2 linked regions of the Drosophila melanogaster genome follow. The protein of the gene in region 2 interacts with the protein of the main gene of each other region in a pairwise test. Each region holds a gene or a part of one and is shown on either strand. Other genes may lie near its edges.

The links.
Region 1: the proteins of ric8a (region 2) and Frq2 interact in a two-hybrid assay, tested with the Drosophila melanogaster proteins (one study listed by BioGRID).

The regions. Positions count from the first base shown.
Region 1 is NC_004354.4:18,175,400-18,180,979, forward strand, and holds the start of Frq2 (frequenin 2), read left to right. Parts: upstream 1-2,212; 5' UTR 2,213-2,692; intron 2,693-3,126; exon of another isoform or gene 3,127-3,285; coding exon of another isoform or gene 3,286-4,035; exon of another isoform or gene 4,036-4,073; intron 4,074-5,580. Other genes in the region: andorra, read right to left, coding at 3,286-4,035.
Region 2 is NC_004354.4:9,254,516-9,260,279, forward strand, and holds ric8a (ric8a), read left to right. Parts: upstream 1-1,652; 5' UTR 1,653-1,781; coding exon 1,782-1,862; intron 1,863-1,927; coding exon 1,928-3,568; 3' UTR 3,569-4,687; downstream 4,688-5,764. Other genes in the region: CG17754 (uncharacterized protein), read left to right, coding at 1,113-1,205. UniProt on the Drosophila melanogaster protein: Chaperone that specifically binds and folds some, but not all, nascent G alpha proteins prior to G protein heterotrimer formation, promoting their stability and activity.

The DNA of each region.
Region 1 (5,580 bases), 8.9 Mb from region 2:
GAAACCAATTTAATTCTTTACATGGGAAAATCTATAAGCCCAATCTTAAGCCCAATTAATTTAAATGAATTTCCTTAGTTTTGGCTGTTTAGATTCTCAGGGAAAGCAGTCCGATTTTCTTGCCCAAATGAGCTGGAAATATTTCCCAGCCAGGCACTTAATCTTTCATAATTTCCATGGCTGGGCCTTTGCCACAAGTGTTGACATTTGATAATTTTCATTTAGCCGTTTTTCACTTTTGTGGCGGGGGTGCGCATTTTTGATTACCTTTTTGGCGGTTTTTGTGCGTGCCGCGGGCGTTGGAAATTGGACATGAATTAGTAATGAATTTTGCCCGCAGATGCGTCGACTGAGGCAGCGCAGCGGGCAGAGGCAGCGACAGAGGCGTCGACATCGTGTTTATCTAGGCAGCCCAACTATTTATAATAAAAGGCTGCCAGATTAAAAACACCAAAATAGATTCTGTATCTGCAGCTGCATCATCTCTGGCTGTATCTGTATCTGTATCCGAATGTATCTATACAACAAAATAGCAATAAATGCGAAAACAATGAGCAAACGTTCGAACAAACAATTCTTACAGAACCCACCCCCCCCCTTTCGGCACGCCCCTGACCTACACAACCAGAATAAATAAACAGTAATTATAATTGGCCTGTTTCGGTCTCGAATTCGATTCTTTAGGCATCGGCATCGCATTCGAGGCAGCATGAGTGAGTAAGTCGCTGCGGGCGTTGCTGCCGCAATCGACGTCGATGACGCGGTATCGCCCTATCCCCCTCCTCCCGCCCCCCCAAAAAAAAGCGCCCCTCTTAGGTGCGACCATTAAGGCCCCCTCTTTCGTGCACAATTGCGAATTTATTCTTCGCGCGTTCGCTGGCGAACTGCAAATTGAAACGGGAAATGGAAATGCTGCTTCTGCGTCAGTTGATCGTCATAATCAATGATCGGCAGGCAGATACTTCAACCAATCTAATCGGTTCCAAAGAGATCTTAAGAGACCATTTAGTTGATGGAATACATAGAGCAATTGAGAAACCAATCAATGTGTATGTATTGTATGAGCAGCTATAAACTTGTGCTTCATTTCGAAGAACAATGCATTTAATTATAGATTACTTTTCGAATAGCATTCGATGCTGGCAGGAATTTGAACTTAAATACTTTGTTGGCAACTTAACAACTACAGTATATACAGAAGATTTATGGGCATTTAAACGAAAATCAAATGTTTAATTATAATATTGAAAGTGTTGCTTTTTGGCGGCTTTTTGATCCGTTGGCCAGCGTAATATAAAACAAACTATTTAAATTCGAGTGTAGAATAAGATTGGATGATAAGATTGTGCCAAAAATATCTTAAAGATTCTTCTAGTTTTGTTCTCTATTCGAAGCGAATAGAGATGATCCAAGGCAATAAAAAGGCAAACAAATTGATACCGATTCTGTGAAAGGGGGACAATGTTTTCGCTTATTTGACATTTTTTGAAAAATTAAAACAAAAAAATAATGCAATACAGATAAACACATAAGGAGAATATTTAAAGTGGTTTAGCATCTGTAAAGTAATAAAGAGCATTGCCAATTTCTATAAACCTAGTAGTTTATTAGATTTAAGAAATATTTAAATAGTTAAATTCAATTAGTAATTTGACCTTTTGGCCTTTTCCTTGCTGACTTGAGTGTTTTAAGTTCTAAAAATCGAAATGAATGGATTAAAGAGGTTCTATTTGGCGATAGTGTCTGCAGAGTTCGCCTAGGTGTTGTTATATTCAACCGATCTAAACACATGTATATATATATATATACAAATACGAACAGCAGCAGCCCAATAAACGGTTCGTTTGATTTGACTGCCGGCCCGCCTCCGTATCTTTATCTGTATCTTTAGATATAGTATCTGTATCTGTAGCAGGGGCAGGCGTTTTATTGTTTATTTGCCCGCCGCTTTGCCTTTTGTTATTCGCCAGAATTTTTATTATTTACTATATTTAGGCAGAGGCCAAGAGGAAGAGCAACCTGCTGAATAATTAGTCACAGCCCAACCACGACAGGCGGCACCTGCAAGAAATGCAAAGTAAATTCTTCAATTGCTCAATTCCTCAGCCCATCCCTACGCCGACTGCGCTGCTGACGTCGACGCCAACGCCGACGGCGACTGCGACTGAGGCCCAGGCCATTTGTGCGACTGCTGGCATTCGATTGCCATTCGCACAAGTTGCATGTTCGCGACTCGATTTTCTGTTTCGGTTCGGTTTCCTCATTGTTTTTTTTCGGCTTCCTCTATTTATTTTAATTTTTTTCCGAATTTTTGTTTGTTTTTTTGGGTTGCTCGCGTGCGCTGTGCATATTGGAAATCACCACCCGCCCATTTGCCACCCACTTTGGCCAGCAAAAGCAACGCCAAATAACAAATAAAAAAAAAAAAAATTTAAAAAAAAAAAAAACAGCCAGGGAATTCTAATTAAGTGTGCGCGCTAATGCGTTAAACTGCTAGCCAATTTGTTTTAAAGCCAAAGTGAAAAGGCCTTTATAGTCCATTGTTGGCTGCTGTTTGTTGCTGTTTCGCCTTCAATATTTGAGTGGAAATTACATCCATAATTACGCTTAATCAGTCGATTACTGTCATCGCAAACACGAACCAATCCGCAGACCCACCGCCGCGTTTGATGACCACACAAATGAGTGCCAGGTATGTCGTTACTTAGCCCCGGATAAACAATATCACCCCTAACCTCCCAATCCCAATCCCAATCCGAATCCAGCTAACCAGATAATTAGGCAGATTTCCCGCGGTGGTTTTGATGGTCAGGATGGATGGGTGGTATTTTGGGTGGCAGTTTGCGATTGACAATTGGCTTGCAGTTGCATTCGATTTGCGGTCCACGTGCGGTTGCATTTATCTTTGGGCACATACCCTGCGGTTATTACGACAGTTTTAGGTCGATGACTTTGGCATTCCTCGGTTTATCATGGAAAATGCGATTTTAATCATAGTTTCTGGGTTCTGCGATGCGCCGCTATAGCAGCTTGTGGCTATCAATCACATGAAGATCACATTAGGACACCAAGTGATGCATGTACTCGAAAAAGAACTAAGTAAGAACTGATGGCCATCAAAACTTTCTAAGAGCTTATCACACGCTAGATTTTATTGTATGAATATTCAGAGATATAAAATATATGTATAATTGGAATTTGCCAAAGATGCGAAAACTAATTCAATTTAAACGTATCAGCTACAGTAAATAAAGAAGCCAGGAATGAACTGCACTGCTCCTTCGTTTAACAAGGCATCTGAATCTTTTGGTGAGTGGGATTCGTTTCAAGTTGCTGCAGACACAGGCGACACATACGCTTGTAGATGAGGAGCTCGGGTGGGGGAAGTGGTAGCAGTACGTACGAGCCCGTGGGCTCGAAACCCTTACTCCTATATTCCACATAGAGCGACTGCCTCCAGAGTGAAGTTTTTGGGAAATAGCCGATTAGCAGGAAGTCCAAGGACACCCGCCATTCACCAGCTGTCGAGTTTAGGGCCACGGCGAAGATGGCGAACGAGGCGAGCAAGCGGAACACATCGAAGACATCGCCACGCAGGAACAGATTGCGCACTGCGGCCGGACAGCAAAAGATCCAGGAGCCCCATTGACCGCGTCCCAGGGCGATGAAGAGCTCCTCGAAGAGGCTCAGAAAGGATTGCCACAGCTGGCAGTCGATCCAGTGCACCAGCTGGAGCAGTAGCATTATTTCGGACAGCAGCATCAGGATGTGGACGCGGTGACGACACCGGCGCACCCAAAGTGATCGATACTGCATGATGGTCATGAGTGTGCCGCATCCAAAGTAGACTCCCGCCCAGCGTTCATTGTCGCCCACGATGTGCTTAAGCGATGGATCCAGTGGCGATACCATGCCATGGATCAACGGACGCCAGCGATTCCAGCGCACCAACATGCCAATGGCCAGGATTAGCCAGGTCTCGTAGAGATCGCGCAGCATTTCCCACGACATGCTGAGTTCATGATATCGATTCATCTTGGGCTGGAAGGGAATAATTTTGGATACTATGTACTGTGTAAAGGTGGAAAATGTAGAAAATACTGAATATCTACGTGTCGACTACTTTGATTGGCCATCCGGTAGCTTTACTTGTTGGGGATGAGCATAACTACCACCTCATCGCGCAGGTTTATTGATTAGCTTATGTTCTCACCTTAAACAGTTCACGTAAATGAGGCAACAACTGAAGCATCTGTAGTGGCACCTGCAAGTGTTTATGCATCGCTCTCTTTTTGTTTTTCATCTCCTTCTCCCTTGCTCGCATTCCATACTTGTACACACTTTCTAACACACACACACACACACATGTGCCCGAGGCCTAATAGTCGCCACAGTGGACTGGATACTTTAATTTCCCATTCAAAAATATTAACGAAACTTTGCTTACACATATGATTATTTTATTCTATGCAGAAATTTAGTGCTGCATACTTTTAGACACCTTACGAAGTTTTTTAAGTCTTACTCAGTTTTTTATAGCTAATCTTCTTAGAAGTGCCAAGTGGTGAACTAAAGACCCCCCATTGAATTAAATTTCTTTGCATGCACTCAAACGAAGATAAGAAAAATAATTATATCTAGGTATTTTTCTAATTACTGCATTTTCTTGTTTTTTTCCACAAACTGACATTCGCTGCAGGCGCTGCCTCCAAGGTGTCTGGCAACTAGAACTAACCCCATCGTGCCACCACCCCAACTGCCAACTGCCACCTGCCACACACACCCACACACACAACCAATGCCCCCCGTTCTACCCCCTCACCCCCTCTGTCGTCGGGCCGAAGTAAACAGCATTCGAGGGTAGTGTAAACAATCATTGACCTCGTTCATATTTCTTGGAGCGCTCGCTCATTTGCCTTTGGCCCGAGTCCCAGACGTTGACTCTGCCTGGTCGCAATTAAAATTGTTGTTTAGCTAGTTGCCCCCATGGACGACGTCGCCCCCTGGTCACCCCGTCATCCTGGTCCCCATTTACATTCCCATTCGCATTTCGTGGGGAAAACAGAATCATTCGGCAGGCGGCATTTGGGCACCAATTAGCCTTCGAGAAAAGAGGCAAAAATCTGATTCCATTGCGATTTCTCTGCCCCGGCAAATGATGATGAGCACAAGGCACAAAGGCAAGAAGCCAGAAGGAATTAGGAATCAGGAGCTGAAAGCAGCCCAGAGCCCAAAAGAGCCAAATCACGATAGGCTCAATGGCAAAGACACAAGAAAAGTGAAACAATCAGGGATCCGGTTAATCGGAAAAACCGAACTGGGCCATACGCTTTTATGGCATATTCATTTTAATGGGCATGTTGAGTTTGCAGCACTAAAGTTCCGATAACTATTATCCACTAAAAGTGGCAAATTTTATATTCAGCTTTATAGTTTTATAGTTTGGCAAGAGGATTTTGAAAATGCAGTTAAGTCTTATAAGAAATATGAAGTTTAATGTATAGATAACAATAGATGCCAATAGTTGAAAACCCTTTAAAATCTTCTTTATCTCTTTGTCTTTAATACAATATATATTTG
Region 2 (5,764 bases):
AAATTGCATTTAATGTTAGTAAATTTGTCAAGATGTTTCGCTCGGCAGTTAATGCTGCACACAAACTGTAGATTTTATACCTTTCTTGCATTAATCTTAAAAATCCAAACATTCCACGTTTACAAAAGATATTTTCCCAAATTTACCAGTTCATGTAAAGCATTTCCATTTACTTGTAGATATTAAGGAACTTTAGGAGGCAATAATCAAAAGTAGTTTTATAAGTAGCGTGGTCTGAAAGCGATGCACTTAGCGAGAGAGCACTGCACCCGTTCTATAGTAGTTGTTGTTACTGTTGCTGTGAGCTGCTCGTGGTTGTTGCTCGTGTTTCCTAACCCGGCAAGTTTGAAACTGCAGCTCACCTTCGCCTCGCCTCGCTCTCGTCTGTGTTCTGACATGATTCCCTGTGGTATGGCATACACCCAGAACTCACCCACTTTCCGCACCGCACACCCCAACCCAGTATTTTCCCCATAACTCTGCTCTTTTCGGCTTGAATCTAAAAATAAGTAAATCAAAAAAAAAATAAAAAAATCAGTGAAATCTCATAGGATTTAAGAAGTGCATGTTGCGAGGCTTCCAGTTCCAATCTAAAATCGATCCCTAGCTGTAATTAACCAACGTATTTTACACGATACCCTAGTTTCTAAAAATTTTCCATCCCACTCACACCCCATGGTGTCGTACGCTTCACACACTGCACGCCATCTCGCTCGCACCGGTGACGGGCCCACATTCCATATGCATAAATCGTATACACATACTTATATCCTGACAAGACTGCGCCAAGCCAAAATTCCAAAAACCAAAATTGCTCATTTTTGCATGTGAAGTGTGCGAAACCATTAGAAAAACAAAACAAACAAAATCAAAAAAAAAAAAAACGAACGAAAACAATCAAAAAGACAACTGCAATTGCTTAGTTTTAGTTAGTAAATACTTGTCCCATGGAATGATTATATTTCGACTTTTGCATCGTCATTTTGTACCGATATTATTCTTAGTAAATACTAGATGTGTGTGTGCGTACAGCGAGCATTTATTTCTAATTGTTTATTATGTTTTTATTTCTTTCTTTTCCCTTTCCCTTCGATTGCATTTAAAAATTAAAGAAAAAGAAGAAGTGGAAGCCAGTGAGATTGGATCCAATCTGCTATAATAGGCGTCCCAGATGTGTCGAGTTTGTCGACTACTATAACATGTAAATGCTAGACAGACAAGACAACAAACAAAGCAAACTATAAACATTTAAGCCAAGCTAAAAGAAAAAACACAAGAAAACTTGTCAAAAAAAAAAAAAAACAATCCAAATATTACGTATTATTTTATATTTACACATATATATATTTTTACACAAAACATACACTGCGAAATGTATACACTGGATATGTATTTTTTGTAATAAAATCGAAAATTAAACGGTTATTCGCTGCATTTGAAAAACCGAACATATAAAATAATACTATTTTGTCGGTTAAGCGGGGATTGCTCTTTTAAATGGGTAACTTCAAGTTTCTTGATTGTATTTAAATATTTGAAATAATATATTTAAATTATCTAACTTTCTGATTGGAATACGATTTTTTTTAGAATATTAGTGGTAAGGGCGTACCGATAGTTGGCATTCGATGGTTGAGATATCTGGCAACGCCCCGTAGTATATTAGATTAGAACGGCAAAGGTGCGGTCACACTGGCGGAAATTATAAAAATTAATTAAATTAACTTAAACGACCTAAAAAGCGAACTCAACGACAGCTTTGAACGGCCACCGTTGGCGACATGGAAACGGAGCACCTGAAACGACTAGAGGCCAAGGAGGCGGACCACATTCCCGCCATCCTGGACGAATTCAACACAAAGGTGAGCACTGCCAGCGGTTTCTCCCGAAGATTCAACCAGATTATATACCCTTCCTTCTGCCGTAGAATGCGGATCTGCTGGTCTTCGACAGTTTCCGCACAGACAACCTGTGGCACGAACTGTGGCTGGCCATCTTCGGCATATTGGACGACCAGCGGCTTAGTCATCTGCATACGCAGTGCCTGAACACGGTGAGGATTCTAACGCGTGACGAGTTCAGCCTGCAGACGAACTACATCGAACAGGAGGTTAACACCCTGCTGAAGCTGGCTAGGATTGAGGCCGGCTCACTAAAGCTGCCAGCCACGCCGGACGAGCTTAAACAGGAGGAACGCGAGGAGCCCCAGCTGGAGCCCAGCCAGGCCCAATCGGAGGTGATTGCCGAAGCACTTAAGTGTCTGTGCAACTTGGTCTACCAGAGCTCCGACTGCAGGCGCCAGTGCCTGCGGCAACACTGCCTGGATGCAATCCTGAAGAGGGTGGCGTCCTCGATGCGACATCCCTGTGCGTTGGAGTACTACGACATGAAGCTCCTCTTCTTGCTCACTGCATTAGAGCCAGCGGCGCGCTCTCGCCTCCAAATCGATCTGAATGGCCTCACCTACATGACTAAGTGGCTGGACGACAAGCTGGGCGAAGACTCAGTTGGCGAGGAGCAGCTGAACATCATCTGCGAACTGCTCAAGGTGATGTTCAACGTGACCAGTGCTCCGGACAAGAGCCCCAACGAATACGAAATCCAGAGCTTGCATTTGACGGGAGTGCTGAGGGAGCTACTCCTGCGTTTCGGCGACTTGGCCACAGAAAAGGATCGCGCCGTCGTCACACACGCCATCAATCTGCTGACAAACATCTCCGGCAGCTGCCTGACAGAACTCACCCTGCGTTGCTCCAATGCCGAGTTGGAGTCGCACAAGGAAAGAGAGCAGGACAACGAGAAGGAAAAAGATACAGAAGCTGGAGCGGGAGCCAAACCCCGTGAGTGCTGCTCGCAGTGCTTCGAAAAGCGCAATGTTCGGAGTCTGGACGTGCTACTCCGCTACCTAAGGCAATCTCTGGCCCAACAGGAGGCCGAGGCTAGCTCGCATGAGTTGCTTTCCCCAGTGCTGACCGTGCTGGTGAAATGTGCGCGCAGCGATCGAGTTATGCGTCACTATCTACGCCAGGAGATTCTGCCGCCGCTGCGGGACGTTAGTCAACGACCTGAGGTTGGTCAGGAGCTGCGCAATCATCTGTGTCGGTTCCTTACACTGCCCGCGATGATCCTACGAGATCTGTCCGCCGAACTGCTGTTCGTACTGTGCAAAGAAAATGTCGGCAGGATGATCAAATATACGGGCTATGGCAACGCAGCCGGGCTCTTTGCCAAGCGGGGTATACTCGACTGCCGGCGAGTGGAGGGCACCGACTACTCCTCCGACAGCGAGGACAGCGACACCGAGGAGTACAAGCAGCAGCAGCAGGGCATCAATCCAGTCCTTGGCTGCGTAGAGCCGCGCAGCAAGTCGCATCTGGACGACATAAGCGAAGAGCAGAAGGAATACGAGGCTATGCAGCTGGTCAATCTCATCGAACAGCTGCGTCAGGGCGGGATCGTAAAGCCGGCGATGATAGACAAGGACGGGCGCCCGCAGCCGCTGGAACACATCCTTCAGCTGCAGGAGGAGCTGCCGCAGCAGCAGCTCGACCAGAAGCGGAAAACCTAAGCCACAAATGTATTGCGGGATCTGCTATGGCACAACTTCCAAATAGCTACCAAAAAATCACCTTAAACTCTGCATTTATTCCATAAGTTTACTGTCGAATGTAGCTTCGAATGTGTTCAAAAAGCAGATTTTTTTTTTTACATAGTTTATATATTTTATACCACATATTCGAGAACATCTCATTATAACCTACAATTTGTTAACCAAAAATTATCCAATCTGGCTTTGATTTCAGTGATCAGCTTTTGTCTAAATGCCATTATTATTAGTGTTAGCTAAAATAATTATAATCTATCCAATTAGCTTCAATTCGTAGATAAGTTCGGTCTCCCAACTTTTACAGAATTTCTTTAACCATTAACCATGTAGAACGTTGTACTTATTAAGTTATTACGCACTTCGTTGTTATTTTGTTGTCCCGTGAATTGTTCGCACTTTTAAAGTTGATACCATGGCATCCCATAACGTACGGCTTGAAAAAAATAACTAAATGCAAAACAATCGTTGGGGTCTTCCAATTTCAGGAAGTAGGGAGCAGATGAACATCAAATCTGAATTCATTTAAATACACGCCCACACTATAGGACAACTAGGACGACTTTTCATTTTAATAGTTAAGTGCATGTATGTATTATATTTATAAAATTCCAATTATACACTTAGGATCTAGGAATGAAAGCTCTTATTCCGATTCTCAGTTTTCTATTACAAATGATGTTGCATGTGTGTAACACTAACTATAGCTCTAGAATCGAACTAAACGAACTACAAAGTCTATCTATGACAGACGGCAGTGAGGAGCACTTGAAGAGCCATCAAGTTGTGGATGTCGACACGGCCATGCAACCAACTATCCCATCCGCACATTGTTCATGTCCATGTCTAATCTATGTTGTAAATTCCGCATAATAGGGTAAAGGAATAATTCCAAAACTTTCTAAAAGTTACGTGTCTTTGATCTATATACAAGAAATCCTATCTAGAGCTTTATTGTGTTCAATTTGCTATAGCGATGATACTAGTAGATCAACTTATATACATCAAAACATAGTAATATTTTTTGTGCGAGTCTAAATGTACGGCTATCCTAAGCTTAACAATAAAATAAATCAATCAAGGTCATGCTATAATAATCAAGCCACATATTTTCCGATTCATAATGCTTTGAAACTAAATTTTAATTATTAATATTGAATCAGAGTTATAAGGATCGACTCCTCTCCGGCGAGGAGTCCGCCTCTTGAATGTCGCCCTCCATGGGCCTCATGTGATCGAAGCGAGCAATGTAGCTGGGTTTGTGGTGGCGATGGCGGCACGCCTTGTGGCAGTCATTTGGGATTTCTTCTTGGTCATTCTGTTCCAATTTTCGGCGATACTTTTCCTCCTCCCTGCGCTCATCCAACCAAAACAGCTCGTATATGCGGTCGTGCCGCTGGAGTTCATTCGCTCGCTCCAGATCTTTTTCCTTCTGCTTCGGGGGGGTGTATTTGAGAAAGTAGTCGGCATACTTGCTGTCGTTGTCCCGCCCCGGGGAATGCACCGGCTCCGATCCGATCAGCTTTATCGAGTCATTCTGCTGATCCTTCGACAACGATTCATCCGCCTTCTTTTCAGTATGCCCACACACCTTTTCTTCTATCTTCAAGGGTTCGCTCTCCGCCTCAATGCGGCGGCACTGGTTCTCCTTTAGCTTGAGCTCCCGGTTAATCTGCCGCCTTTCCTCCCTCTGCAAAATCTCCATCTGCTGGCGATGCTCCGCTTCTGAGGGAAACCTATCCCTTGTGAAGTAGAACATGCTATGGTGTCTCTCTTTGGGTTTCTTCTCTTGGCACGTCTTGTTTGAGTAGCGATTCTTTGGAATCATACAAGAGTCCCATTGTATCATCCTTGAAGGGCTATCTTTGATGTTGTCCTTCTGGGTCTGAATCGCAGTTTGAACATGGGCCTTCGCTTCGGTATGGAATTTACGTTGAGACTGTGCCTGCGATTGCACTTTGCTTTTCTTCTGGCGAGCCGCGGCTGCCGCGGCCGCCACGGCAGCCAATTCCCGTTGGATCGCCGCATTTTTGTGTTGGCATATGTGCACAGATTTTCGCTGTGCAGCAGGAGCAGTAGCAGCAGCAGCAGGAGGAGCTGCAGCTGGAGGAGCAGAAGCAATAGAGGCTTTCTTAACTGCAGACTCCATGTGGTTGATCT